Linked DNA regions of Medicago truncatula. Each later gene encodes a partner of the first gene's protein in a complex. Links are inferred from orthologs where the notes say so. Each region holds a gene or a part of one and is shown in the gene's direction. Other genes may lie near its edges.

Evidence for each region.
Region 2: 50S ribosomal protein L15, chloroplastic (region 1) and 50S ribosomal protein L13, chloroplastic share a complex: the UniProt entries of both Arabidopsis thaliana proteins name them as parts of the 50S ribosomal subunit. The link is inferred for Medicago truncatula from reciprocal best matches to the Arabidopsis thaliana genes RPL15 and emb1473.
Region 3: 50S ribosomal protein L15, chloroplastic (region 1) and 50S ribosomal protein L4, chloroplastic share a complex: the UniProt entries of both Arabidopsis thaliana proteins name them as parts of the 50S ribosomal subunit. The link is inferred for Medicago truncatula from reciprocal best matches to the Arabidopsis thaliana genes RPL15 and RPL4.
Region 4: 50S ribosomal protein L15, chloroplastic (region 1) and 50S ribosomal protein L9, chloroplastic share a complex: the UniProt entries of both Arabidopsis thaliana proteins name them as parts of the 50S ribosomal subunit. The link is inferred for Medicago truncatula from reciprocal best matches to the Arabidopsis thaliana genes RPL15 and RPL9.

The regions. Positions count from the first base shown.
Region 1 is NC_053042.1:53,667,951-53,675,899, forward strand, and holds the start of 50S ribosomal protein L15, chloroplastic, read left to right. Parts: upstream 1-4,942; 5' UTR 4,943-5,040; coding exon 5,041-5,103; intron 5,104-5,181; coding exon 5,182-5,521; intron 5,522-6,496; coding exon 6,497-6,648; intron 6,649-7,949.
Region 2 is NC_053049.1:23,131,029-23,138,767, forward strand, and holds the start of 50S ribosomal protein L13, chloroplastic, read left to right. Parts: upstream 1-4,729; 5' UTR 4,730-4,840; coding exon 4,841-5,089; intron 5,090-5,604; coding exon 5,605-5,790; intron 5,791-7,081; coding exon 7,082-7,252; intron 7,253-7,739.
Region 3 is NC_053049.1:1,016,660-1,023,634, forward strand, and holds 50S ribosomal protein L4, chloroplastic, read left to right. Parts: upstream 1-3,961; 5' UTR 3,962-4,039; coding exon 4,040-4,874; intron 4,875-6,240; coding exon 6,241-6,278; 3' UTR 6,279-6,587; downstream 6,588-6,975. UniProt on the Arabidopsis thaliana protein: This protein binds directly and specifically to 23S rRNA. May play a role in plastid transcriptional regulation.
Region 4 is NC_053045.1:29,004,045-29,011,175, forward strand, and holds the start of 50S ribosomal protein L9, chloroplastic, read left to right. Parts: upstream 1-4,106; 5' UTR 4,107-4,188; coding exon 4,189-4,326; intron 4,327-4,420; coding exon 4,421-4,548; intron 4,549-5,202; coding exon 5,203-5,248; intron 5,249-5,591; coding exon 5,592-5,689; intron 5,690-5,766; coding exon 5,767-5,814; intron 5,815-6,980; coding exon 6,981-7,101; 3' UTR 7,102-7,131. Other genes in the region: pheophorbide a oxygenase, chloroplastic, read left to right, coding at 784-920, 1,257-1,416, 1,739-2,014, 2,122-2,376. UniProt on the Arabidopsis thaliana protein: Binds to the 23S rRNA.

The DNA.
Region 1 (7,949 bases):
AGTGGGATATAATAATTTGGAAATATATTACATAGTATTTATTAGAAAGTACAAATGATTTTTTTAATATTTAAAAACTGTATTAACAGTCATTTAAAAAAAAATTGTTTTATTAATGTGACGCTAATTGTGTCTAAAGAAGTCGAGGACAAGTGCTTCTAAAACTTTGTTAGGTTAGTATTTTTCACTTTTATCATGATTTGAATATGAACCCTCCAAATATTTTTGAACTCTTAGTTCAAACCGGCTAAACTACTCATTTTTATATTTTGTACCATCAAATTAACGAACTTGGGTGTGTTGTAGTCAAAGCACTTCCGCAATCTCATGTGAGTGGTTGTTCAATTGAGGTTGGATGATCCTAATTTAAACTTGATATTACTATCATAGTTATAAAATTAAAATTAAATCTGATTTTACTAGGACATCACACGGCCACCAATGTTGTGAATGCATAACGGGGTGGAATCCTATTTCCAAATTATAAACTTCTTTTCCTCACATGTTTTTTTGAAAGACTTGTTGTTTTTCCATTAGAATAATACAGTTAGCAATAGCATGCATATATACAAAATATACAGTGTTTGATTTGATAGAATTTGTGAAATTGATATTCAGATGTTATCCACCAATAGCAACAGCAGGGTATCATCCAGCAGGTAACATAGGAGATCATCATCATCACCCAACAATGCCATTGAGTTTCCCAACATCCTTCTCTGCTGCAGGTTCATCATCCTCAACATCTCAAGTTCAACAATATCTGTACTCTTCACCATCAAGGCCTATGTCTTTCCCTCCACATTTGGTTCCTCACGATTACCGTCATGTGAGTCATATGATGAGTAACAATGGGCAGCAATATGTGGCAGGTGGAGGTGAGTCAAGTTACACGTGCATAGGTGCACCGGTTGGACAAGGTTTTCCAGATCATCATCCTTCAACGATCAATCGATTTCAAGATGGTATGTAATGGAGTGATATTTTGTTATCATAAAGACACGCTAGCTATCTGTAATGTATGTATGTATATCCAGAGAGAGAGAGAGAGAGAGAGAGATAGATGATTCATAATTAATTAAGGTGCTGACAGATAGCTAGGGTTATGACTCATCATGAGTAAGAAAGAAGAGATAGCAACAACAGTAACTAGGTGCTGCAGCTTTTGAGCTCATTCACAACCTCAGCTACTTTGGATTCTAGCTGTGGAATGTCTTTTATATGTTGGTTCGGTACAACAACAAACAAGCTGTTGGATATGAACTGAAAGTTTGTGTCACTTCCTTTTGCATCCCATTTCTATTTTTCTAATATTTCTTGCTTTTTGTACCATTTTCTAACTTTTGTGGTTTCATACTTCTTTTCTAACTAAAAATCCAAAAATCTACCTCTCACTCTCTCTAGTCAAACCAAAATTAGAATATTCTAGTTTCTTGATATGCTCATCATGTCAGTGTCACACTATGCTTGCACAATTAAGGTAATATCACAACAAAAGTCGAATACTCCAGCTGAGTGTTTCCGGTATACTCTCATACATAGAATATTCAAACAATCAATCATGCCTCTACTATCAATCAAATTTCTTCTTAACGCATATCTAGAAACCTTATCAGTTCGAAAACCATACATAATACAAACACAGACCCCCTTTCTTCCTAGCCAAAGATCACCTCCCAAAGGTAACTATGTTATATAATAAAACCCAAGGAGTACAAAGAGTTTAAGAAGGAGTACATCAAATCATAAAACAAAGCGATAAAAGATAAAGTGTAAGGGAATGGTAAAACAACCAGAACCACAACAAGCATAGTGTAGGATGACATTATTTAGAGATAATGGATCACATTAAGATGGTCTCACAGAGTTGTACTTCCTCCGTTTTTTAATATAAGTAAATTTTAACTTTTAGATTCATTCAATCAATGATGTATGTGGTCTTTTAGACCACATACATCATTGATTGAATGAATCTAAAAGTCAAAATTTGCTTATGTTAAAAAATGGAGGGAGTATTAGTTAGTTGTAATGTAATGCTTAACATGTGACATTCTTCCTTGTAAGGGTTTGGAGTAGCCTTGTACATCCTTTAATGCTAGTTTGTTTATTAAAAAAAATCATAGAACCTGAAAAACATACCACCAACAAGGAAACCACGTACCACCGTCACAAGGAAACCACGTACCACGTAATCAACCAAACTATATGCACAACCGATCCGTCCTGGTCAACACCACAAACCTCTGTGGGGTCAAATACTCCCTCCGTCCCAAATTGTATGACGTTTTGGACATTTTACACATATTAAGAAATGTAATTAATATTGTGTGGGAAAAATATATTATGAGTTGTTTTACAAAATTGTCCTCAATAAATGATATGGGAAAGATAAATGAAGGAATTGAAAGAAGATAGAGTAATAAATAATTAAGGATATAATAGGAAAAATAACATTAATTTTTCATTGGTATTGTAAAGCGACATACAATTTGGGATAAATATATTTTCTAAAGTGACATACAATTTAGGATGAAGGGAGTACATAATAACAAGTTTTCCGTGAAGTCTTACCTTACCTGAAAACCACTTCCACTTATTTTTTACATACTCCCTCCGTTTCAAAATATAAGCAAAATTTATTTTTTAGTTCATTCATTTAATAACCACATACATCATTAAATGAATGAACCTAAAAAATGAATTTTGCTTATATTTTGAAACGGATGGAGTAAGTTGCTGAACAATTACTATCTTTTCAAAGAAAATAGATCCATTTGGGAACCTTCAAATAGACCACACAATCAAATTTAACTAAATTACTAGTAATTTCGAAGAAATAAAACTCCTGATATCAACTCTAGACCAACAATTGGTTCCTTCCGTTTCAAATTATGATTCATGATGTTCCAATATTTTTTAGTGTACTTATTTTATTTTATTTTAGCTTTCACACATGGGTTTTCCTATTTGATTTTAGCTTTCACAATTGAATGGGCCAATGTGAAGTGCAATCATTTGTTTAACACATGAACCAGAGTTAAGGACTTTCAATTATGTATTTTACTCTTTTAATACTTAAGAATTAGTAATGCTACATCCCCTAAAAAATTCATGCTTCATATAGGTTACAAAATTAAAAATAAACTCTAGACCCATCTTAGAAACAATAACATAGTGCCGAGACTAAAGTGAAAAGAATTCAATTTGTTTGGGGATGAATGTAAAGAATTTATTTTCCCACCATCCACCCTTCTCGCGCCCGTCCTCGGTTTCGTCTATTTTATCCCCATTTGAATCATAATTTGAAGCATTTTTAATGTTTTTTGGATTATAAAATTCACAATCTATCTGGGCTTATATTTTACACATCATATGTTGTATTGTATATCAACGTATTACGTCTACGTCACTATGCACCAACCCAAAATCACATAACTTAGTCGGACGATGTGAGTCTTATCTAGCTACTAATACATGATCAAAAATAATATAATTATCTAACTTGTATAAACATACACTTAAGTATCTCTACCTATTACAATATAATTATCTAACTTGTATAAACATACACTTAAGTATCTCTACCTATTACCTTATCATCTTGTGAAAAAATTGAGTATTCTTACTTTTGTCTCTCCATGATGATCTTGAGTATTCTTCACATCAAATTCAGACCCACAAGTGTTTAACATCTATTGAAATTCACTAGGCCTATGGAAAAACACATCATCGTCATGATCTTCAACTTCATGACTCCCTCTCTCAACAACTTATCTCAGAGGCACCAGATAACGATATATCTTGTCTAACCCATCATCTCGGTCTTCTCTAATCATGTTAGGTTGACTGACACCACCCCCACCCTTCAATGCTTCAAAACACACATGTGGAATCAAGCTTTCTTCCATCACGAAGATGTCAAATTTAGTATCGAGGTGCTGACTTGAAAAATTTCCCACGATGGAAACCTTTTATCGTAACTTTGTAAATCAAATCAAGTAAATAAACTTAAATATGTGGAGCAAAAGACATCAGAAACTAAATCTAAAACAACCTCAGGAAACAACAACATATCTTATATCTAAGCAAAACATATCCACAAACAAAGTAAGGACAACAAGATAACAAACACACTAAGAATTGGGTATATGGTTATTGGAAAGAGGTATAAAAGAGGTTACAAGAAATTAGCTTCAACAAATTCTCTAAGAACAACATAATTTATGCAAATTTCTCAATTTCTTTTTATAAACAAGAGACTCACAAATATTTTCACTCTCCAATGTATTTCCCATGTGTTATCTATTTATAGAATCTATCCCCTAGTAGTTTCATATCCAAACAAATCTCATCTTGAAATATAAATATGTAAAATAGTTTAACATTAAAAAAAAGTTGTTTGGTCCTTTAACTTAGTTTTAAAGTTCATATTAATACCCGAATAAAAAGGGAACTTCTACGGTACACCTCATAAATTGAGGTGTACCGATACTCCTGCTATATAAATTTATAAATTAACAATCATTTTATGAAATAAGTAGCTATTTGTCAATATTTATATTTTAGAAAACACCATCTCATGAGAAAAAAACATAATTTCATTGTTTATAAGAATTATATTAAATTTCTAACATTTCCTCATAAAAAATAAGCAATATTTTTCGTTATGGCAATAAAAATTCAAAAGAGTAAATTTTATTTCATCGACGCTTTTGGTAAATAAGATTTAATTATTATAATTGTCAATGATAGAAAATAAATCTTTTTTCTTCAAAAAAACAACTAATTTAATTATTGATTTAATGTTTTGGTGTACTGATACACTCAAAATGTTGGGTATACCATAAAATTTGCCAATAATAAAACCCTCTATAAAAAATAATAAAGTGATAATTTTTTTGAGGAAAAATATAATAAAGTGTTGTAGTCTTATCTAGACCGTTATTCTATTGTTTAGGGGGGTTTATCGTATCAACAATATTATCCGTCTGTTCCATTTTGATAGATAGAGTGAAGAACGGATAGACATAGTAGAGAGACATGAGTGCTGCTGCTTCTCTTATTCCTGTTTCCTGGTTACCCTCTCTCGCTTCTCCATTCAAGGTATTTCTATTTCTATTTCCATTTTCATTTCATTTTCTCCCGCAATTCACAATTTCACCATTGAATTTATATTTGTAGGGAAATGTGAAAACATTGGTAGCAAAACCATATCTATGTCCATGTCTCAAAATTCAGCGAACAAAACACCGTGTTTCTGTCATTAATAAGTCTGTTTCTGCTTCCGTACAACCAGCCGGTGAGAATGTTCGGTTTCGGTTGGACAATTTGGGTCCACAACCGGGTTCAAGAAAGAGAGCAAAGAGAAAGGGAAGAGGTATAGCGGCTGGACAAGGAGCGAGTTGTGGTTTTGGAATGAGAGGTCAAAAATCTCGATCTGGACCCGGTATCATGAGAGGTTTTGAAGGTGGTCAGATGCCGCTTTATCGACGATTGCCCAAACTTAGAGGAATTGCAGGAGGTATCCCTTCTTACACAACACTTGGGAATTTACCTTTTGCTTTGTTGGCTAAATTTGTTGTTTATGGATTTTGAAAATAACGTATTTAATTATCGCGGTTATGATTGATTGACAGTACGAATTATATTCTTAGTTTTAAATGATGTCCAAACTTGTGTATTGTACATTTTGTTAATTAGTTAATTTTTAGTCTATATACTACCAAATGGGAGCTTTTGTGCAATTGTTAGAGATGCAATTGTTTGAGTTGAAAGTCGGATATTCATGAAATTTTAGCAGTATCTTAGAAATACAAGATTGAATATAATTGGCACACTAATAGGTTGCCCTTTTTTTACCATGTTTTGTTGAATTATCTGTAGCATCATAATGCTTCACATGGAGTTTATATGGATTTTGTTGAATTATATTAGGATAATTTAGGATCCTACTGTTAGGGAGTGATCAAGAAAGATGCTACTTGTAGCAACATCATTAGTAAGAAAAAACAATGGTTAGATGAGAATTGTGATTCCTGGTTGCAGATTGATTACGTATACTTGTTGCGTGCCTGCATCACATTTGAAAGTCATGAAGTATGCCTATTACAGGGTCCGGATATGATGTTGTATATATCCCTAATATGTTGATTTTCAAAGAAATTATAGTCGATTCCCTTTATTGACATCTTGAAATGGTAATTATTGTCTAAAGAGAATCATGGCATTATGGATTATACCAAGCTTCCAATACCTAAATTTCGCTTCCTCAGTTCTTATTATGCTTGACATCTTTACTTATTGTATATTTTTTCCCCTTATTCTTTTATATCCTTCCATGATTTCATTTCAAAAGCAATTATTTTATCAAAGGCTTTTCTTTCATTCTTTGTCGTAGGATCTCTCTTAATTTATTTAGTATACGCATAAATCTCGCTTGGAATCATGTTTTAATGTTCCTTCTTTTCTTTTATTTATATAAAAAAACCATAATAAGGTATGCATGCTGGATTGCCGAAATATGTCCACATCAATCTGAAAGACATAGAAAATGCTGGATTTCAAGAAGGGGAAGAGGTGTCTCTGGAGACACTGACGGAGAAACGTGTGATTAACCCATCAGGAAGGGAACGGAAACTTCTATTGAAGGTACAAAATACTTGTTGGTTTATGGCTATCTAATTTTTTCCTTTAGTTGTTGTCTTACATGTTCTTTTCTGTGATTGTTTTCATGATGTCTAGAGGTATTATGATGTTTCACTTTTAAAAACAAATGAGGATGGTTAATTTTCCTAGTGCCCCATATATCAAGAAAGAATTCTCATATGAGGTCCCTTGTCTATCGTGAATAAAGTTACTTTCTTTAAAATTTTCATATAATGCCTTTAATCAGAGAATTTTGGTTGAGCTCAGACATATGTTGTTTGTTTATGATACATATGTAAGTTCAAACGTAATATTTTGGTGGCTGTGTTTGTGGTTTGAATTTGAAACTGTAAAGTTGGAATATAGGTCCGTTGGTTGAAAGAGTTAAAAGTTTGCTAATGGATGTCGGGATATTAGAGATGTTGAAACCGTGTTTCTCAACTACATGATGGAGTCCATTTTGTAAGACTCAAACAAATAATTACAATATAAATACGATCAATTTTATTCTTATTTATGCCTACAGTTAATCTATAATAATCACAAAGATCCTAAACATATTTTCAACAAGAGAAATAAGGCACGTAGTCTATAAATAAGAAGAGGGCTGAGACTTGAAAGGGAGAGATATCTTGTCATTTTAGTTTAGTCGGAGGTCCTTGGATATAGGAAGTAGGGAAGATTGCATACCTTTGAAGTTCTGTAGTTCTCCATACAAGGAATTTTTCCCTAAATGTACATTTAATTAAAATATCAATTTCTGTCTATTGGTATCAAGGCTCCATCAAGGAGTTGGGGGTATATCATTGAAGATTACGTGGCGGGAATAAGAATAAAGGCACACATGGATGTCATGGATGGTCAGGAAGTAATTTCAGTTGGGGAAGATACATCTGTGTTGGATCAACAAGTTTGGGAGGTATTTTCATATGAAATAGGTGTTGGAAGGAGAAAGACTATAAGTCATCTGTGTAGCCATGGAAGGACAAGCTTTGTTTTTGTTTCAATGCTCCAAAACCCGACTTGGGTGATGTGTCATAATATTATTAGGTGTTTCCAGCCATCCATGATTTGCAACCCATTTGGTATTTTGTTGTGTATGAAGCAAGAGGGCTTGTGCATGAGTACAAGGATCAATTTGACATACAGGTCAGGTTGTTGCATCTGCTACCAGATAGAATATTTAAAAGTTTTTTTTTAAAGGACGGCAAGATTGAAGCTACCCTTGAACAGGTCACTATTGGAGGAGATGGATTTGGAAGAAACTATAGATGAGTGAAGAAAAGAGTCGGTCAGTTTGAAAA
Region 2 (7,739 bases), on another chromosome or scaffold:
AGTCTCAATTAAGATAGTCAAATATAACAATCAAAAAAGTCAAGAACATAATCTCATGAGGTAATCAATATCATTCATGATATAACAGTCACAATTCAAACAATAACATGCATGCTCCTAGACTCTAGACATCTCTTTCTTTGGTGTCATTCTACTCCGAAGTACTTGGTTAGGAGGTCGATAGTGCTATGCCACCACATGGTGGATGGACAATTCAAAAATGGGTGAGTCATTACAGACTATTAAAGGTTGGCCGAGTCACTACGGACTATTCAAGATTGGCCGAGTCCTTACGGACTATTCAAAGTTGGCCCTGCCCTCATAGACCCCCTCCTCAACCCCGAGACAATATGTCTCATTAATCAGTACTTCCCCAATCATATTAGGTTTGTCAGACCCTACCTACATGATGACCAAACACTCCACTAGGTCCTATACCTTACCATTCAATCCATATTCATTTAATAATCACAATTCACAGTGCATACTTCACACTATTCGATAAAAATCCATATTCAGTCATTCTCAATCAAGTCTCAATAGTTCAAACATATATAATCATAATAACTAGTCAAATTCTATCAGTAACGCCTTAAGAGATTTAACACGTAGTACTTTTAATAAACATAATTTCATACTAGTTAATACAAATGTGCACTCACACATCTACCACACCATAATTAACCTTTAAATCATAGTTTCACAAGGATCAAATATTAAACAATCTTAACAGCATTTAATTCATGGCAGCCTTCAGGTTCTGGATCATATTGATGTGATCTTAATCAATTATATCTCAAATGGCTAAACTATATGTGGTAAGCACTATATGAATAGTTGAGAATTACAATATTATCATTCATTTCACAATATATTACACTCATGAGTGAAACACTCGCTTACCCCTTACATATAATCTCCCCTCGTTGGCCTATGATACACATAAGAGCAAACACAACACAAAATCAATACTAATTCATGGTTTAAGGGTAATCGATAAGGGTAATCAAAATATTCATTCATCTCAAGTTAATCACATCAATCTGAATCTGATAAGGGAAATCAAGAACATTCTATAAGCTCAAATTATCCACAACAATCCGAATCTGACAAGGGTATTCATTCCTCTTAAATTAACCACATTAATCTTCATCACATTTTCTCATATACAGATTTAAATTAACCACATCAATCTTCATCACATATTCTCATATACAAATTTTTTACTCATCACAAAACACATGCATCACATCATATATACATCACTAGATACGTACAACTCATGTCTATTCAAGAACAAGAATTTCGCAATAAAAAAAAATAGCAATTAGCCAATTATGATCACAATACCTACTCAACAATACCTATTCAACAATAACATCAATGAGTACACATTCCGACATAAAGTAAGTCAAGCAACACCTTAATAAAATTTCTAATTCCTCTTTTAACCTTACTTCCATATTTGCACATTAATTTATTCATCTCTCAAAGGCTACAACCGTCGCAGCGAGCCTCGAATCAGTGGATGATTTCAAGTTGGAAGCCAAAGTTTTGTAAAAGAGTATTGTGGCTTGAGGAAAGAGAAATCGAGGAAAGAGAGAGGGGGCAAGGGTTTGTAAAAGAGTTTCCATTCTGCAACCATTTGGAAGAGAAGACCCGTTCTATTTTTATTTCTTCATTTAATAGCAAGGGGTGCAAATAGACATTCAGACTGAAATTGGTGTGTGGATAGAAATCCAGTTAAGTGAAATTAATGTGTTTTCACATACTGGGCTGTGAATGGTCCCAAAGAAGGAAGACAGATTAGCCCAATCAAGTATCAGAATGCAGCAAATAAAGGGAGGTGTATAAAGTAGTCAGTTTTAAATTAATCTATCTATCAATTCCGATTCTAAAAATATCAATAACTTGTTCCACTCTCCTATAACTAAAATCTTGATCTCTAAAACACTCATACTAAATTACTATGACCTTTCAAAATGCTTAAAATAATAAAATATCAACATTTTATATTACTCCATAAACAAAATAAATATGTATGACTATCACATCATAACAAATACACATAGGAAAAATCATCATAATATTGCTAAATAATTAGGATATCACTATGTATACAATTCGTATTACTAAATGTCATGATAATTATTAGCGCATCCACACAAAAACAATCAAAATAAATAAATAGATAATAACTAGTAATTACAAGATGAAACTATATATAAAAACACATGGATATATGATAATATAATATATAGAAAAATTGGGGTGTTACATCTTGGACATTGGGTACATAATTCCTCCCGTTGCAAAATCTTTTGAGGCCTATTGAATCTTCATTCTTCATCTTCTCAAGACCCAATAATCTTTAGAGGTCTTGATTTGCCTGGTTTGCTTGATTTCTTCGTGAATTACTTCAAGAACCCTATAAAATTGCTATGTTTTAGGAAGAATCAAATTACAGACTCAAATATAAAAAATATTACAAATGTCCCGAAATCATAGACAATTGTTTTAATACTCCTCTGGTTTGCTGGTAAAACCTATTAAAATAGACTGAAAAACATGCTAATTATAACGTAAGATGATCTGTCATCACCTGTCCGTGATGAATTTTACTTGCGGATATTTGATGTGTAAAATCCGCAAGTGCACCGTTTTACTGAAGTAGTAAAAAGAGTATCGTTCTGATAGGGAGTTATGAATTCAATTAACTTTTAACAATGATTAGAAGAAAGTTTGAGATTAAAAAGTTTGGATTTTTAACGGTTGAAAATAATATTAATAAAAAGTGCCTCGGGATTATTGGTTCGTCATGGCGAAAAATCCTTCACAAATCAAACGCTAAACCTAGAATTTTATGTTGGACCTACTTTCTAAAGACAAGTTTCTCTTTAGCCTATCACATCTCCTCTCGATTTCAGTAAGTGTGTTCCTCTTGCAACCACGTCTATTCTCATGATTGATTGCTATTGGAATCCTTGAAGAAGAAAACTTTTTTGTCTCAAGGTTTGCTAGACCATTCTCATGTTTCACAATCCTTGTCTAATTTCACTTGTTACAATATCATAACTTCTTATTACGATGTTTCGCTTTGATATTTGTGATGATGAATTAACAAGTACCAACCCTTCGTTGTCGCATTATGAGTTTGATACTTGTTAATTCATTATAAAAATGGTGAAATTAGATTAGAAAGTAGTTTTACATAAAATTAGGGTTCAATGCTTAGTTTGATTAGGATTAGGTCATTAGATTCATCCAACAATCCCAAGACAAGAAGTCTACTCACTCACGTTCATTGTCGACATAGAGAAGAAGAAGAAGAAGACCATAAAATAAAATAAAGAAAATAAAGATGAATTTTTATTTAAAGAAACAATTGTCACTTATTATTTCCAAGAACTAAAGATGATTATACAAGCTTGATGTCTGCTCTATTTATAGTCTAACAATGACTTAAGCCCTAAGAAATAAATCACTAAAGTGTTGCACAAGAAATGACAAGCTTTAGGTCAAAAATAAACTAATAGGCAGCTTGTCCGGGAAGCCAAAAGAAGCAAAAGGTGACTCTGGGTGCTGGCACGACTGTGTGGCTGGTGACACGGGCCGTGCTAAGCTTCTGAATTGGGGGCTTTTTATTTTTGCACCAAATCTTCATATTTTTAGTCCGAATCAGCTCCGAATCTTCTTTCTTTTGCTCTAAGACTCAATCTTTAGAATATTCGTTCATGAAATTAAATAACTTGCAATTGAAGTAAAATAGTTCTAAAAAAGAAAATAAAAACAAATAAAATTTAAATAAAATAGACTCAAATAATATATTAAAAACGATAATTTATTGAATCATCAATATCATGCATACCAAAGTTTGGTAATCCTTAACTATATGTCTAACTTGGGAATGCAGATAAATACACTAGTATCTAATTAATATTGTCATATTTGTCCCTCCTTATTTTCTACTTATCTTCCAATTTTAAGGAGAAGTAGGGCCAAACACAATTTGTAAAGAAGAAAACCACATAGAAACTGATGACAGTCGGCCATTCACTATTTTTAGAGTCTTTTTTATGATATTTTTGAGTTCACAAGCAAAGATTAAACAACAAGAAAAGCTAGAAAAACTGAAGAAAAACAAGAAAAACTGAAGAAAAGCAAGAAAAATAAGAAAAACTGAACAAAAGCAAGAAAAGCAATAAAACCGAAATGTTGATTTTACGAATTATGGGATCAAAATGAAAATTGATAATTACTTAAGAGACCAAAAATCTAATTAAGCCTAAAAAAAAAGTTTGTCTAATATTTTCAGTTTTTTAGTATTATAAAATTTATGCTTTACTATAATTTTTTTAAAACAACTATGAATTGTAAATGTCCATCTTAAGACTATTTTTGAGAGGTCTCTATTAAACAACCCTAAAAAGTTTTACTAATTAAGTTGGACAAATAACAAATGCCAAACAAATTTAACTTTAACTTAAAAGTTTTAATTTTCAACTTTATTATTAAAGTAGCTTTTAGACCTCAAAAAAATAGAGCCAAACACACCCTTACTTATCGTTATATTAATTTTACAAATATTTATATACTATCATATCAATCCATACATAAAAAGAATTAATGTCATATTTGATAGACTATTTTAACGTAAGAGACTTATTTGACTAACAAATCGTACAATTATACACTATTTTAAAATTTTGATACATTTATAATATAGGCTTATCTATCGCACACTCTCTGGCTGGCTCTACATTATCCCCAGTAAAGATAGAGCACAGAACACAACACAAAGCATCGTGAGAGAATTTATCATCATTCATCAACAGCAACAATGTCCTTGCTGTGTGGTTCACCATCAGTGACGTTCCCTTCATCTTCTTCATTCTCTCATCACAAGAATTCAACTTCTAAATCTTCCTTTCTTTCTTCTCAATTACCACTTTCAAACCTTTCATTATCATCTTCTTCAATTCGTTCTCCATCTTTCATTGTCCATTCTCAGCAGGAAACTTCCATTGTCGCAGAAGAAGAAGATCCTCGTTTCATCTGTGTTGAACCTGAGCCCCGCTTTCAAGGCCCGGTATAACTTCTCTCTCTCTCTTTTTTGTTAATGGGTTTTGTTCATTTTACACACTAAGTGTTGTTGTGTATGATTTTGTTAAAATTTTCTTGTATTAATTTCTGGGTCTCTGTAATCTAGCATATGGAATAGAAAAGCCTCAATTTTTATTGTCAAATTTTAGTGTTTGTCTCAATCCATCATTTTATGGTAATTAAGCCTTATTATCTTCTTTCTGGTTTGTAATTAGCACTTTAGCAGTATTCATTTCTCGTAATTGAAGTAAATTAACATGTAAATCCATCTTAATTTACTTCAATTATGCCTACATTTCGTATCTCATTAGTTTAATTAGCTTGGAAATGTATAGGTTATTACTTCATCCAATTTTTTGGCATGATTGAAAGTTGGAATTGCTTTAAATCTTTACGTCGGTATCCATGTCTTGTATTATTTTTAAAGCTTTTAACTTGGTAGATGCTTTTTTCGAATTAATGTATTTGAAGCGGCTTAACTGAAAAGAGTAATGATTGCAGGACATTTGGAACACAACCTGGTATCCAAAAGCTTCGGATCATGTCAATACAGAGAAAACGTGGTATATTGTTGATGCTACAGATAAAATTCTTGGAAGACTAGCATCAACAATTGCTAATCACATCCGAGGGAAAAATTTAGTGACTTATACACCCAGTGTGGACATGGGTTCATTTGTAATTGTGGTACGTATTTCTGCATTCATTATTTGCAATTGGCATGGAAGTGCTGATTTTTATGGTTTACTACTTCTACGGAATAAGCTTATTTGTTATATAAGTCAAGTTTTAGTTGAACATCTTTCTTGTTAATTTTCTTTTGGTTTTAAAATGGATGGAACTTATGCAATATATGATGGACTGTTTTCTAAGTAGAAGGAGTCAAGTTGAATCATAGGTTAATGGAGTTTCTTGCATTTTAGCCTTAACTTTTTGTGTTAAGTCACCATGAAATGGCGTAGAGGCTCAGTGTCATTTCCCTTCAAATTGTTATCATCATTCTGATAAAAACTGGTATTTTATTTGGAAAAAAGATGGAGATAAGCCCTATTTGGGAAGTTCGAGCACTGTAAAACATACATCAAGGGAATGCGTCTCCTTATACCCAAAGGCCTCAGCACTTATTCAAAATTTCAAATGTCAGGATATCTCAGCCACTTGACCCGTCTTCTTATTTATAACTACAGTTGGAAAAAAAAAGCCTTATTTCTCTAATTATTTCAGTCTTTTTCCTTGTAATATACCTTCTGTTCTACAGTTGTTAACTCCCTTCCCTGTTTTTATAGCTACTCCTCTATTATCCTTTTGGAGAGTTACTGTTATTGAAGAGTCCTTGTAATTCTAATATCTACTTACCGCTCTTCCTCTTCCTAAATACTGTACTCTTAACGAGTGGTTTGCTAACACACATTTAACCCTTTGCTATAATAATGTCACATTGACAAAGAAATTTGGATCACATTTCACATTTTTGTATATTGATTCTCACGCAACATAGTCTGTAGTTAATGTATTGCTTTAATGCATGTCCTGAAAAGTCTTGATGAAGCTGCTATTAATCTTGTTATGTCTGAATGTTTGTCATGTTTTTTCGATCATAATGGGAAGCTGCAAGACATGTTCTTTTTGTTATGTATATCTATTGTTAATGACTTCTCCGCTTTCTACATTCTATAGATTGTAAGGAAGTTTATTTATCATGCATTTGGTTTTAAATTTTAATTATAGGCATGTATGACTAATGATTTGACGACAGATTCCAATTTTCCACAAAAATAAAACTACAATATCAATAGAGGAAACAAAATCTCCTATAAAATGGTTGTATTGTTTATAAAACTTGCTTTTCACATTAATGACTATGTTTATGAGGCTCACCCTTCTCATGAAGTTTTATGCAAGGAGTATTGTCAATAATGTTCTGTTTCACGATTGCTTTATGTAGTCTTGGCCTATTATTTTAACTGGGGTTGTGTAGATAAATGCAGAAAAGGTTGCTGTCAGTGGGAAAAAGAGGACCCAGAAGCTTTATCGGCGGCACTCAGGTCGACCTGGTGGTATGACAGTCGAGACATTTGACCAGCTGCAGAACAGAATTCCTGAAAGAATTATTGAACATGCTGTTCGTGGCATGCTTCCAAAAGGGAGGGTAAGTTCAATAAAGTTCAATGTTTTTCCAAGAGACTTGTACAGTAGACATGTTAAGATGGATCATTGATGCATAGAGAAGTTGAATATAAATCTAAACTATGTGTTTAATTTTTATGACAAAAACATATCACACGTACTAGATTCGTTTCCATAACTGATGGAAGAATATAGAAGTGAAGAATGAAAGGAAATCTTACAGTCTATGCATGCCTGAGAGCACACGTTTTTGGTTTGAAAGGGATCCCTTAGAGAGTACACCTTTTGGTTTGAAAGGGATGCCTGAAAGTAGACTTTGTCTTCACCGGTGTTCCCTTCCTTTCCACTACCAAGCTTGAATCTAGTGGGTTGAATAGTGGTGGTGGGTTGTTCGACCTTCTTAAGACCCATCCATTCACCTTGTTGTCGGCTCCAAACCTTTCGACGTCAACCTTTCTATTTCGATGCCCTCCGTCACATAATGAATAACGGTGCTACTATTTTCGTCC
Region 3 (6,975 bases), on another chromosome or scaffold:
TTAGTATTTGAGAGAGGTGGCGTTATGTGTAAAAAAGTGGTAAAAGTAAAGTGTACCTTAAGGGTGATGCTGAGTTTGATTGTAAGATGTTCATGTTTTTTATGTGTCGAAATTTTCCGGTTGGAGGGTTGTTTGTGGTTGATTCCTTCTCCAGGCCTTAATGATGTTCCTTCATGGCCCCTTAGAGCATCCACAATCGAGACAACAATTTTTTGGTTCTTAAATGGATCCCGCGTGTACACATCACTCATTTATAATTTTTTAATAGTAGTATCTAATAAGCATTCAATCCCTCCAACCCAGATCTCACACAAATTTCTTAAATGAGACATATTAATCAACTACCAATAACTTTATATCATTAATTACATTTCAATTTTTTAATATTAAAAGAGTGTGAGTCCCGCTTAAGATTGGAGGTCTTAAGTAAGACCTCGGGTCTTATAAAACAAAGAAAAAGTTTTTCCCCAATAAAAATACATAATAGATACCGGATCTTAAATGTTTAAAACCCTCCTATTAAAAATGGTCTTAGTCTAACTTTTTTTAGGATTGGGTTTTTGATGCTGGTCCAGGTATAATATTATTCCTTTTTTTCTTCTTCCAAGTATATCATGGCCCCTCGGTCAAACTTCTTTATGATGAGTTAAAACAAAGTATATGTCAAGTTTGATATCACTTAATTTTATCATTTGCTTTTATTTTTCCTCTATATCATTCTGTATCAGTTAAATAACGTATTTATTTATTTTTAAAAATAAACAGGTAAGATTTTAAACGTCAATTATTTTGGTCCATACAAGCGGAAAGACGAGCATGTTGGTGTCAATCATTACACTAGTGGCAAGGATATTTGAAAATGGAAAAATTAATATTACAAATTTTACATTCCTTCATTAAAAAATAATAATAATATGCATGAATTACATTTTATTTAAAATGTTGACAAATAGATAAAATAATATTTAAAACAACTATTAATTATTAAAATATTACTTATTTTGTAAGTAGGACCAAATAGTACATATTTAATTACTTCTTTTAAACTCGTTAGTTGCTTAGGAGATAAAATCCTTACTTCAATGAGAAGCCTTAACAGGGAGTGATCCTTGTTAAGTAAAGACCTCCCATTAGAGATGCTCTAAGAGCATCAATATCGATCGTAGTATATGTATATATGAACAGAGCGTGTCCGGAAAAACACCACTAATTGAGTTTTTTGGGTGGTAAATAGTTGATCCCGTAGCACTGCATTGATACGGTAGCTTTGTCTGATCTTAATGTTCTTTTATAATAAAAAGTGCTTATGATGTTACTTTTTTGAATTAAAATGATTTAAGAAATATAATATAAAATATATTGTAAGATGAGTGAGACCTATTTTAAAATTTTGGAAGAGTGGTATGGATATTTAGAAGATATAGTTTAGTGGTTTAAATAATTGGGAAGTGTGAAATAATATATTGTATTACGTGAGACCCATTTATACCACTCATATGGGTGGTATGGATGTGGATGCTCTAAGTGACTCAGTTGACTTTGTCACACACACCAATGTACAATTTTGATCTTAAATAACTTTACTAATCTATTAGAAAAAATTATAAAATTTGATATTTTGAAAATATTCATCTAGACGAATCTAACAATATCTTATATGATATTATTTATTTTTATATATCAGTAGAAAAATACAGTCAAAGTATGTTAGATCAATAATATAAATTTTTAAATAAATCATCTATTATAGGATGGAGGGAGTATTTATCAGAAAACCTTTTGTGTGACCATACACATTATGCTAAAACTTTCTCGTAGTGAAACATACAAAGAAAATTGAAGTATAAAACTAACGCATTTCGGTAATCAGAAGCAGAGAACAAAACACATCTGTGTTTATTGTCATTCCAAACTAGGCTGATCAAAGTTAGTCCCTCTGAATTTGTAATTTGGAAAACTTTGTAACAATTTCAAAACTAAAATATCAAACTTTCCCTACAACCAAATTACTTTAAAACAGCAACACTAACATTTGTGATGCCAAGAAAACAATGATATAATAAATCAGTCTAATACTCCCAATCATCATTAGCATATATATGTATCTTCAAAATTGTCCACATACTCCATCCGATCACATTTATAAGTAAAATGCAGCTTTTTAGATACATTGAATAATTAATGTATCTGACATATAGCCTCGTGGTATTGACTTGGAACCTGAAAGTGTGCTCCTTCTTGATGTCTCAAGTTCAATTCTCTCCGATACCAATTTGGATGAGCTAATTTAACTTCTTCAAAATAAAAAATAAAAATGTATTTGATATACAAATGTGACTATATATATATATATATTAATTATTTAATTTATCTAAAAAAGTGTTTTTTCGTATAAATATGACCACCATCATCATAATATAAAAAGTGCTTTGGAGGTCGTAAATCTTTAATTTGCTCGTGACACCTTTGTTCTAAATTTTGACTCAAAGAAGCACACACGTGCAAATCAAGAAATTCAAGAAGAGGGCAACCATCAAGAATGGCAAGGAACCCAACACTGACGAGAAAAATTCCTAACAATTTAAAACGGTGTAGCCCAGACATTGTTTTAGCATTAACAAATATCACATCATAATATTTATTTATATTGAAAAATGATATTTGAATGGTCATTTTGTGATAATAGGTGTGACAATTTTTTCTCTTATACCTACATTGTATTTTTTATTTTTCTCTTTATTGTTTTGGTTCTTCTACCAATATCTACATTTCTTTATATATTTTGATTGTTTCAAATGATTGTTCAAATAATATTTCTCATTTATACTTTGACGCAAGGGTAAATCAACCTACAAAGAATTAATGATTTCAAACAAATGCAACATTGGCCAATGACTTCAACAGAATCCTTGGATACATTGTTCCTAGATGTAATGTTAAGCTCCTTCACAAATTCACTCAATCCTTTATCTGAAATTCTTATGTAGAAATTGTCTTAATTGACTTGTCCTGTAAAATATTAAGAGTAAGATGCTGATAATATATGATTCATTTGAGTTATGGGACGAATAATATTAAATTAAACTATAATTTAGAGTGTGTAGTGTATAACCATCATTAAACTATAATTTAGAGTGTTGATATGATACAAACAAGGATATGAGCTGCAATGAAATGAAATGAGATTAGAAATTGAGTCCAATAAATTAGGGAGGTCTAAAATGATCATACTACACTTAGGAAGTGGAATAAATTTGTTGCCATTTAGTGGTGACTCATTAGTTTTAGAAGATTGATGACTCACTAGTTTATTGGAAAAAATCTAAAACAATATTACTTATAATATAGAGTAGTGATATTTGTACACCTTTTCTAAATAACTTTCATGACAACTTTGTTTTTTTCTATTTTGATTGATCAAAATCAATAGAGAGAGAAAAAGGCAGAGAGATAACAAGAATGTAATGTGAGTATGAGAGAGAAAGTTGTTCAAAAGTTATTAGAAATTGGTTGTACAAATATCATTTCTCTATAATATATTATCTCTATTTTATAATCATCGATGAAATTATAATATTTTCTCCATCTATTATTCTTAAAAGGTTCTCATTCTATGTTCTATATCAGAGGAATTATCTTTTACATATCATTTGGTGCTCTTAACAATGATACAATCAATATTGTCATTTTATATAATAAAAAATTAAGTCATAAGTGTTTTTTGAAGTAAAATTAAGTTAATAGACGAATTTTATATATTTACCAAAAATATAATAGAAAGAAATTGCAAACTTTGTTTACTTTTTTAATATAATTTTCAAGGATAGTAGATTTGATATAGTATAGTTAAAAAACAATTCATGAGTTTTATTTAATTATAAATTATAAAGTTGATCCATCAAATAAAAAATAGTAGTAAGCAAAAACAAAACAAAAATCCTTACCCACACCACACCACACCAATCAATTTTGAAGAGATAGGATAGAAAAGAAGCAAAACTCTCAAATTTTTCTCTCTGAACCAAAAAAAAATAAAAAAATGGCTTCACTCTCTTCAACACTAACACCAACTTCAACTTCTCTTTCTTTCTTCTCTTCTTCAATCTTCATTTCTAATTCAATTCCCAAATTGAAATTCACTCCAAATTCAAACTCAATTTCACATACTAATTCACTTTCCATTTCTTGCAAACTCGCCACCCTTCCACTCCTCTCCTTCTCCGGCGAGAAAATCGGTGAATCAACTCTCGACGTCAAATCCGCCTCTCCTTCCACCTCTCGCGCCGTCGTCCACCGCGCCATCATCCACGACCTTCAAAACAAACGCCGCGGCACAGCCTCCACCTTAACACGCGCCGAAGTCAGAGGTGGTGGCCGAAAACCCTACAACCAAAAGAAAACCGGCCGAGCACGTCAGGGTTCGATTCGTACACCTCTCCGACCCGGCGGTGGTGTGATTTTCGGCCCGAAACCAAGGGATTGGACTATTAAGATTAACAAGAAGGAGAAGAGGCTTGCGATTTCCACTGCGGTAGCGAGTGCGGCGGTGAATACAGTTGTGGTGGAGGAATTTGGAGATGAGTTTGAGGGGAATGCGAAGACGAAGGAGTTTATTGCGGCGATGAAAAGGTGGGGATTGGATCCGACGGAGAAAGTTACGTTTTTTATGATGGAGGTGAAGGAGAAAGTGTTGTTGGCTAGTAGGAATATTGGGACTTTGAAGATTTTGACGCCGAGGACTTTGAATTTGTATGATGTTTTGAATGCTGATAAGATTGTTCTTACTCCTGATGCTGTGGATTATTTGAATGGTAGGTATGGTGATAGTGAACAAGATGATGATGGTGATTATGTCGAAGAGGATAGCCAAGAAGGTAAATCATTAGTATTATAATAGTATTAATGATGATTAGTGATAACATTGTTAATCGTTATATCTTGAATTATTCATCCTTGTTTTTCGAATAGTATAGTACATTAGTACTAGTTCAATATTGATGTTGCCTTCCGTAAGAAGCGTCGGTGCTAGCGTGCTATAGTCATAGACCTAGATTTTAAATTGAAGTTGCGGTTATGGTCGTGTGCAATTGTTGATATGTTGACAACTGTGGTCAATTTTAGATGGTACTATTGTGGCCGTGGGGACATACAATTACAAATTCGGATGTTGTGATCACAAATGTGGGTGGGATAAGGGTTTTAAATAGTGTTTACAGTAGAGATCCTTGATATTGCGGCCTGTGTGGCTTCAATTGCAGTTGCATTGCGTTTTTGACAACATCAAAGACCGTTATGGTTATGTAGCCCCCCAAATCTCAGTCGCAGACCTTTATTTAAAACTATAGTTGCAGATCTTTTAAAATCTTGGGCATTGCGTTTTAGATAGGAGTTAGTTTGGATAAACTTTTATTGAACATGGAGAATGAAATATTAAAAGAATTTGACAATGATTGTGTTTTTTTAAAAAATAGTTTCTCGAATAAGTTGAAATATGTTTCCATTTCTCATGATCATCCAATTGATCATGCAATTTTGTAAAAAACTTATTCCTTAAGCATTATAGTAGCTTGTAAATTTTTTTGTGAAATGAGAGAAAATTAACTTATTTGAATTGAAATGTTTCCTTTAGGTAGAAATCATTTCAAATTTGGTTTAAGTTGCTGATATTTGAAAATGTTTCATTGAGGTAGAAATCAATTCAAATTTGGTTTAAGTTGCTAAATGGATTCTCAAGTTAACATTCTGAAATATGAAGGATGTTACTACTGATGTAATTGTTTATTTTTTACATATATGTTAAGGCTCTGAACTTGTTTTAATTTGAAGATTATAAGTAGTTCACTTATTTGGAGTCATTAACCATGGTCATAAGATTAAAGTTCAACACTGTTGTTTGTTCAACTTGTTGTATCTGCATTGTGTAGTCTTATTTGTCATTGGCTTTAGCTTTAACTTTGGAGCTGGTATCTTTAAAAAATTATATTCTTGAGACTATTGAAAAGAAATGAAGTTAGTGCACTGACAGAGTAGAGTCACCTAAATCTCACTGACTCATTTTGATAGTTGTTTAGTATTGTGCATGTGTGTGTGTATGGACATTCATGTTGGTGGTTGGGTTAAACTTAAACTGCACATTCCCTCTGTAACTTTTGAGTTGCTTATTATTGTGGAAGAGTTTAAGATGGGTCTGAGTAATATAATAGGTTTCTGACTTGATTGCTTTCTTCTATTTGGATACAGGACCAGACGCAGAAGAAAGTGCCGATGCGGTGAATTGATGATTTAAAGTTGTTTGCACGGTTGTATCGTATCATTTTATAGAGGATATTGCTCATACAGGGTATAGAAGGTTTGAAGTCTTGTTTGTACCAATGTATTTGCTTTTTTTCCATTCCATCACTTAGAATCCAAATTCAAGTAGCATGTAAGGATATTTCTTTATCTCATTTACAATCACATTTTGTTGTAACCTAGTAATTTTTTGAATCAATTTTGTTGCTTTGTAGTCTCTTTTGTGCAGATGCATGTAAATGGATAAGTCAATTGTTTTGAATCAATGTTGTTGCATGTAGTTTCTTTCTTCTGAAGAAGTTGTATCTGGTTACTTCTTTTCTTGTACTGCTTCTACTTAATGGATAGACAAAAATCTAGAACATGTGATGCTTACATATTCTTAAATGTGCTATTCCTAAACCCTAAAAAGAAGTTTGTTGAACTCTCATGCCTGTTTTGAATGACTTTCCTGCCATATACCTCATAAAGTCTTCCCATTCAACCATGTTTTACACTTTGAAAAGGAAACCATTTGTAAGTTAGAAGAAGAAAAACAAAGAGCAAATGAAGTCAAGAAACATATTTCCCAGTCAAACATCAACTCCTAATTTAGTTAAAACAAAATTAATAGCTTATTTTCCTCTCACCGTTGGTGTCATATTGCTTCATTGGTGATTCTTCCTTCCATATTATTATTATTAT
Region 4 (7,131 bases), on another chromosome or scaffold:
ATCACTTTCGATTGCACCTTTTTAGAAAAGAAAAAAAGGGCAGCCTTGTGCACTAAAGCTCCCGCATACGCAGGGTTCGGGAAGGGGTCCCACCATTTTGGTGTATTGTACGCAGCCTTACCTTCTTTTTTAGAAAAGACGATGTTTCCATGACTTGAACATGTAACATTTTCAGTCACATGACAACAACTTTACCGTTGTGCCAAGGCTCCCCCTCTCGCACCTTTTTAGTAAACCAAAAGTGAAGTTAATAAATACCCAAGCACTTGGGGAACCCTCTCTTAAAAGCTAGATATCAAGAAGGAAGAAACTCCACCGTGAAGCATCCCATGATGAGAGCCGATTTCCCGGCGGCTGCTTTCTACGATGCTTTACTCAGTCTTTCCGGTCAGCACCTCCATTTGGAGCCCTTTCTAAGACACTGTTTGAATGCTAGATATTAAGGGGAAAAAAACAAACAACTTAAATACACCATCGTGCATTCCAGACTAATCGATGTGGGAGAGGAAGTGCAAGCAAAAAAACGGTGAGGCAGCATAGGAGATGGATGTGTGCAAGTTTGTTGCACAATAGTATTGTGTCTTAATGATTTATGCTGCACAGTCAAATTCCCTTTTGGATTTGTTAAACTTATAGATTGATTGTCAATGTTTGTCAATCATTTTGCATATATGTGTTATTTAGACGCTATCAATATAAGCAGTTCCAAAAGTTGAAATGATTTAATATTGTTTTTTTAGGGTTATCGATATCACTAACATAAATATGATATATACGCCATAGGTTACAGGAAGGAGAGACAGAGCCAAGCCTCTTCCATTCAAGATGGATTCACGTGGTTCATGGGGCTTTTCAGGAGCTAATGAAGGGAACCCACGGATCAGTTCCAAATTTATTGCACCATGTTACTATATTAACAAGTAAGCCACTGGCCTTTTCATGAAAGTATTTTTCATATGAATTCTGGTTTCATTTTCCCATGTACATTATTTGACACTATCATAAATGATGAGTAACTTAATATGAGTTATGTACTTGTTCATGACCATAAAAGAATAGTATTCATTTTTAATTGAAAAAGGACGGTATCTACCTCGATATTTGGATGATTGCGGCATCATGTGGCTAACTGTGTCTTGTTTGTATGCTATATTTCAAGATGCATTTCAAAAGACTATTACTTTATGCTAGGTTGCTGCTGTTTTCTTTCCATTTGTTGGTTTTGAAGCTCAGTAAATTAAGAACTATTTTTTCAGGGTTGAGATCGATACCAAACTCCCCGTCGTTGGTGACCAGAAATGGGTAATATGGATATGTTCCTTCAATGTCCCCATGGCACCTGGTAAGACTCGCTCCATCGTTTGCAGTGCCCGAAATTTCTTCCAGCTCACGGTGCCAGGGCCTGCCTGGTGGCAAGTAAGATTTCTATATTCAATGCTTTCGTTTCTATTCTCTTCAATAAAACCACGAGAATGTTCCATTCTCTGCTAATTTCTGTGGTCTTTCACTGATTTATTCGCTTCTTTTGAATGTCTATCAAGATATAGTTTTAGCAAACCTTGACAAAAATTATTCGCTGTTATCCTTGAAGAATGCTAAGTTTCTTTCTATGAAACCATTTTATTTCGAAGATTTTTAAACAAAATGGAATTCTTGAACTTCTCCAACATCAACATCTAGGATAAAATATATTTCCAGGAACAAGCAAGTCCTAACGATTTTCTTGTTCATGTCTCAGGTGGTTCCCAGATGGTATGAACATTGGACTTCAAACAAGGTATATGACGGGGACATGATTGTACTTCAAGGTCAAGAGAAAATCTTTCTTGCAGAAACAGAGAATGGCGGTGACATTAACAAACAGTACACAAGCCTCACCTTCACACCAACACAGGCCGATCGTTTTGTGTTGGCATTTAGAAATTGGCTGAGGCGACACGGCAATGGCCAACCTGAATGGTTTGGTAAGAGCAGCAGCCAGCCATTGCCTTCAACCGTACTATCAAAACGTCAGGTATAGCAATTTGATCAAGTTATTTCATTATGAACCCTTTTCCATTGTCTACAAAACCGAGAATAAAACACAACTTTGATGATCTTTTGTGTTTGTTTTTCATGTAGATGTTGGATAGATTTGAACAACACACACTGAAGTGTTCAGCTTGTAAAGGAGCTTATGAGGGATTCCAAACATGGCAGAAAATCCTGACTGGTGCAACAGTTGTGTTTTGCGCGACTTCTGGGATTCCATCAGATACTCAGCTGCGCATAATTTTGGCTGCACTCGCGCTTGTCAGTGCAGCCTTAGCTTTTTCCATAAACCAACTGAAAAACAATTTTGTTTTCGTCGATTATGTGCACGCTGAAATCGATTGAACGTGTTATTACTCCAAAGGTTTTATTACTAGTTGCAAATTGTAAATGTTAGAGATGAGGACAAATAACCACGTGTATGTTAATATGTGTATATATTTTCATCAACGGAGTTTAGATCTACCTTGATGTTAATGTTAACATGTGTATAACAATGTGACATTAGACTACAAATACACAATATGAAACTTCTTTTTTCATAGATTGTAGATGATTATTTCGAAGGTCGTAAACATGACAAGATTAACACCAATCTTTCTGTATGTTTAGAATACGAAAGACGTATTAAATCTGAATTTTATTTTTATACACAAATTACAAATCCAGTGCTTAATTTTATATTTCAATTCCTTCAAAAACTAACTATATGATAAATCAATCAATTCTTTCACTTGCAATGTTGGACTCACCATTCTTTTATATATAAAATTAGATTAGAAGAGACACACTTTCGTATAAGATCAAAGAGAACCACTCATATAATCGAAGATCTAAGCCAAATTCAACCATGTGTGTTAACTGCAATTGATTTGTATATTACCCCACTTTTATAACTACATTTGATAATTTATGATACAACATTTAAACTGTTACTTCGATACAATTATTTTTTTTATTTTTTTTTATCTTACTGTAATGCTCTTAATTATTTTTAATTCATTTCTATCTATATCTCTATGCTATTAATTATTTATAATTTTATTCTAGGGTATAGAGTTTAATGAATTTGATAAAGATGTGATATATGATAGAATATTATGATGTCAATTTATTCATTTAACTGATTCTATTTAGTGGGTTAAGAATTAGAGTATGTTTGATTTTGTGGTGAAAAAAAATTGATTTTGAGTGAATTGATTATGTAAAATTGATTATGGCAAAAGTTGAGTTGAAGGCAAAATAATTTATGTTTGAATACATTCATGTAAATAAAATGTAGTTGAATAATAAATTTGAACATAAAAATCAATTATAGAATTAGAAGCTTACGATTTATAACTTTTAAGTAAGATCAATTCTAGAGGCAAAATCAATTATACTTTATAATTATTTCTGCACACCTAAAATCAATTTTGACTCCTCCAAAATGAAACTAAACATGTACACTCTTGTACTTTAATCTCAATGCAATAAACAATGATGAATTATTTTTTTAATCCGGCGGAAAGAAAAGCCAGAAAAGAGGAAAACTAAACAATTTGTTGCCTAAACATCTCATAGACATCAGCAATGTAAGACGAGATTCAACTATGTCGAAGGGGAATTCCACAACTTCATGATGTCGACATTCTTTGCATCAAATTTGGTCAACCAATCAACACATTCGTTGTCTTATCTTGTATCATATTCAAGGAAACCAACCAAGGAAGATGGATGAACATCATAACAAGAGAAACTAAATTTGCATGAGGGTGAAAATCATTATGTTGAACATCAGTCATCAGAAATATCGTTGACTCGGAGTCGGATTCTACAATAATATATAACAAATATCCTAAACTAATGAATTTTTTTCTCTTTCAAATCAATGTGAGTTCAATAAACAAATTAGATGCGATATTATATAAAATCTAGAAAAATCGTGAATCCAAATTCTAAACTCATTCCACAGTATGTCTCCACAGAAATTGTCAATTAAAAATTAACTAACTTTTTTAAAAAAATAAAAAATATTAATTAACATTTTTGTAAAAAAAAAATACAATAATAAGTTTTTTACGTTATATCCACTATTTTTCGATGTTCGTTTGAAGAAGAAGAGATAAGAGACCAAAACACAGAACACAAATTGAGCGGTGAGTTAACAAAACAACAATGGCATCATCATCAACATTATCTTCACTTCCATTGCAACATAGTTTCACCTCTAACTTGAACACTTCTTCTCAATTTTCCAACAAAACTTCAAGGTTCTTAATTTTCGCTCAGAAGAAAGCAAAGAAAACCCGAAAGGTTAGTTACACCAACATTTTTTTTTTTATCTCTCAGTTGTGACAGTATTTGTTATTTGTATTGAGTTTTTTTTATTGTTATTTTGTGAAATTAGATTATATTGAAGGAAGATATTCTTAATGTTGGAAAGAAAGGAGAGCTTCTTGATGTGAAGGCTGGATTTTTCAGAAATTATTTGTTTCCTAGTGGCAAAGCTCAGATTGCAACTGCCGATTTGCTTAAGTAATGTTCAATTATTTATATCATCTAATCTTACTTGAGATTTTAGAATTTTAATTTACATTAGTAGTAGGTTACTTTGGATAAGTTACCAGAAGCAGAGACACCGGACACAACACTGACATGTAGGCACTAGTAATTGTTTAAGAAAGTAGAAGTGTTTGAATTCAACAATTTGGAGAGAATCCAATTCAACATGTGAAAGTGTCGTGTCGTTGACCAAGTGGATACACCTTTGATCTGAAGTGTCAATGCTACATAGGTTACTAGCAGCAGCGAAGGGTATTTAGGTTATTGAAATATCATCAAAAATAAACTTTGTCAACAAAACACCAAAGTCTCTTAAGAGTTTCACATTAGAATGATACATTAAGATTATGTAGCACCAACACTTCAGATTGATGGTGTGTCTGGTATCCGACACGTGTTGATCTCTGACATTGAGACATGGGTTTACATTCAATCATTCCATTCTCTCAGATTAGTACTGATGTTGACGTGTCAGTGTCAATGTTGTGTTTGGTATTCGTGTTTCTGTCAAGGCTTCATTTTGTTAAGAATTACATTTTGAAAAAAACATGTTTGCCACAATTTTGAATTGTGATTCCCTTGCATTGATTGTCTTTAGACCTTTTCATTTTAACTTTTTCTTTCCAGGGAATTGAAGATAGAGGAAGAAAGAATTGAGGCTGAGAAACAACGGGTAATTTTTCGTTGATCCCTTATCATTTCTTTGGTAAAATTTTCCTTATGATAATGTTTAGTTAAAATTGTGATAAGCTGATCAGTGATTAAGAGTGTTAGAGTTCAAGAGGAAAGGAATATTAATATGTTCTGCTACTAGTTCTAAACAACCTTGCATGTAAAGCTATAAGCTCATAACAATGATATTCTCCTGATTTTGAATTCACTTTTTAATATCTGATTATCTGCTGTTTAGGAAATTTTACGACTTTCAAACTTCCTTCTGAAATATTTTAGTGAAGTTTTTACCCCTAGGTGTATTTGAAGACATATCAGACTATCTAAGTTTTACATTTCTATAGGTAAAAGAAGAGGCACTGCAACTTGCTCAAATTTTGGAATCAGTTGGGGCTTTCAAGGTGAAGCGTAAAGGTGGTAAAGGAAAACAAATCTTCGGAAGGTATGTTCTACCCAATTACTAGGTTTCAATTTGTGCAATATATGTATGATTGTGCCTAATCTTTGGTTTCTGTTTAGTGTTACGGCTCAAGATCTTGTTGACATTATCAAGGCACAGCTTCAAAGGTACCATTCATCTTTCTGATGCACATAAATATTTTCTTTGTTAGCATTATAAATCTTACATTATTTAGTATTATCCTATAAGTTGTAACATTCCTGTTTATACTTTTCTAATAATTGGGACAACAAAACACATTTCAGTATGGTATTTTGTTCCAACTAGCTATATGCTTAATGCAGTTTGTTGTTATTTTGTTGTCTGGCTTTGGAGCCTTCCAATTTTGTAGAAAGGTTCATGTTGATTTTTACCACAATAATGAAAGATTCTTTTCGATTGAGTTTTCGATATAATTTATCAACGGAGGTTAACCAAATCACTATAATATTAATAGGTTCTACCAATACCTGATATCCTTTAGAGAAATTCCTTTTAGTTTGAATGGAATTGTCATAATGTTTAGTCTGTTAATATTCAATGTGCATTTCAGTAATAACTACAATGTTATTTTACTCTTTCCTGCTTATCCTTATCGATTGATAGCACCATAGTCATCAGTATCTTGCGTTAGATGTGAGTCGTATCTTGTTTCGAGTAAGACTGAACCCACCCGATATGAATCCCTAGTGTGTATCAACTTCGTACACGAATTCCATCTTATCTCCTAATTCATAATAATGAATTTTGTTTCACTATAATGAATCTCAATTCATTGTAATGAATTACTACCTAAAATTAGTGTAGCTAGGCATTTTTTGTCAACTTTGTATAGCTGGCCGTTGTCTTTTGTCGTTTGATGTATGGCTTGAATCTTGAATTATATTGAGGTTCGTATATGATATGTCAACTTGAAATTTTGCTGTGACTTATTTTTACATAAAAATATCATACTTTTATCGGTAGTGTATCTTACATTTATAATAAGATTTGATTCATGATTAGGAAAATAGATCATTTGATTCACGACTGGAATCTCAATTTACTAACCATAGTTAACACAATACCACAAAGGAATTATAGGTGCAAAATATCCTTCCATGATTCTGTAGATTCATTTGGATGTATTCAGTGTATGCAATTTTTGAAAAGCTAGAAGAAATTTGGAAGAGACTTTCGAAATTCTTCAAACTATATCTCTTTGACGATTTACATTTCTAGTTCAGTTAGTCTCAGTTCACATGTGTTTTGTAGTCTGATTAATTGTTCATGATTTTCTATGATTCATTTCTAGGGAGGTGGACAAGAGAATTGTTGAACTTCCTGAGATCAGGGAGACAGGAGAATATATTGCAGAGTTAAAACTTCACCCTGAGGTTACAGCTAAAGTGAGTGTGAATGTTTTAGCTAACTGAGCACTAATATGTTTCAAAATGCCATATGCT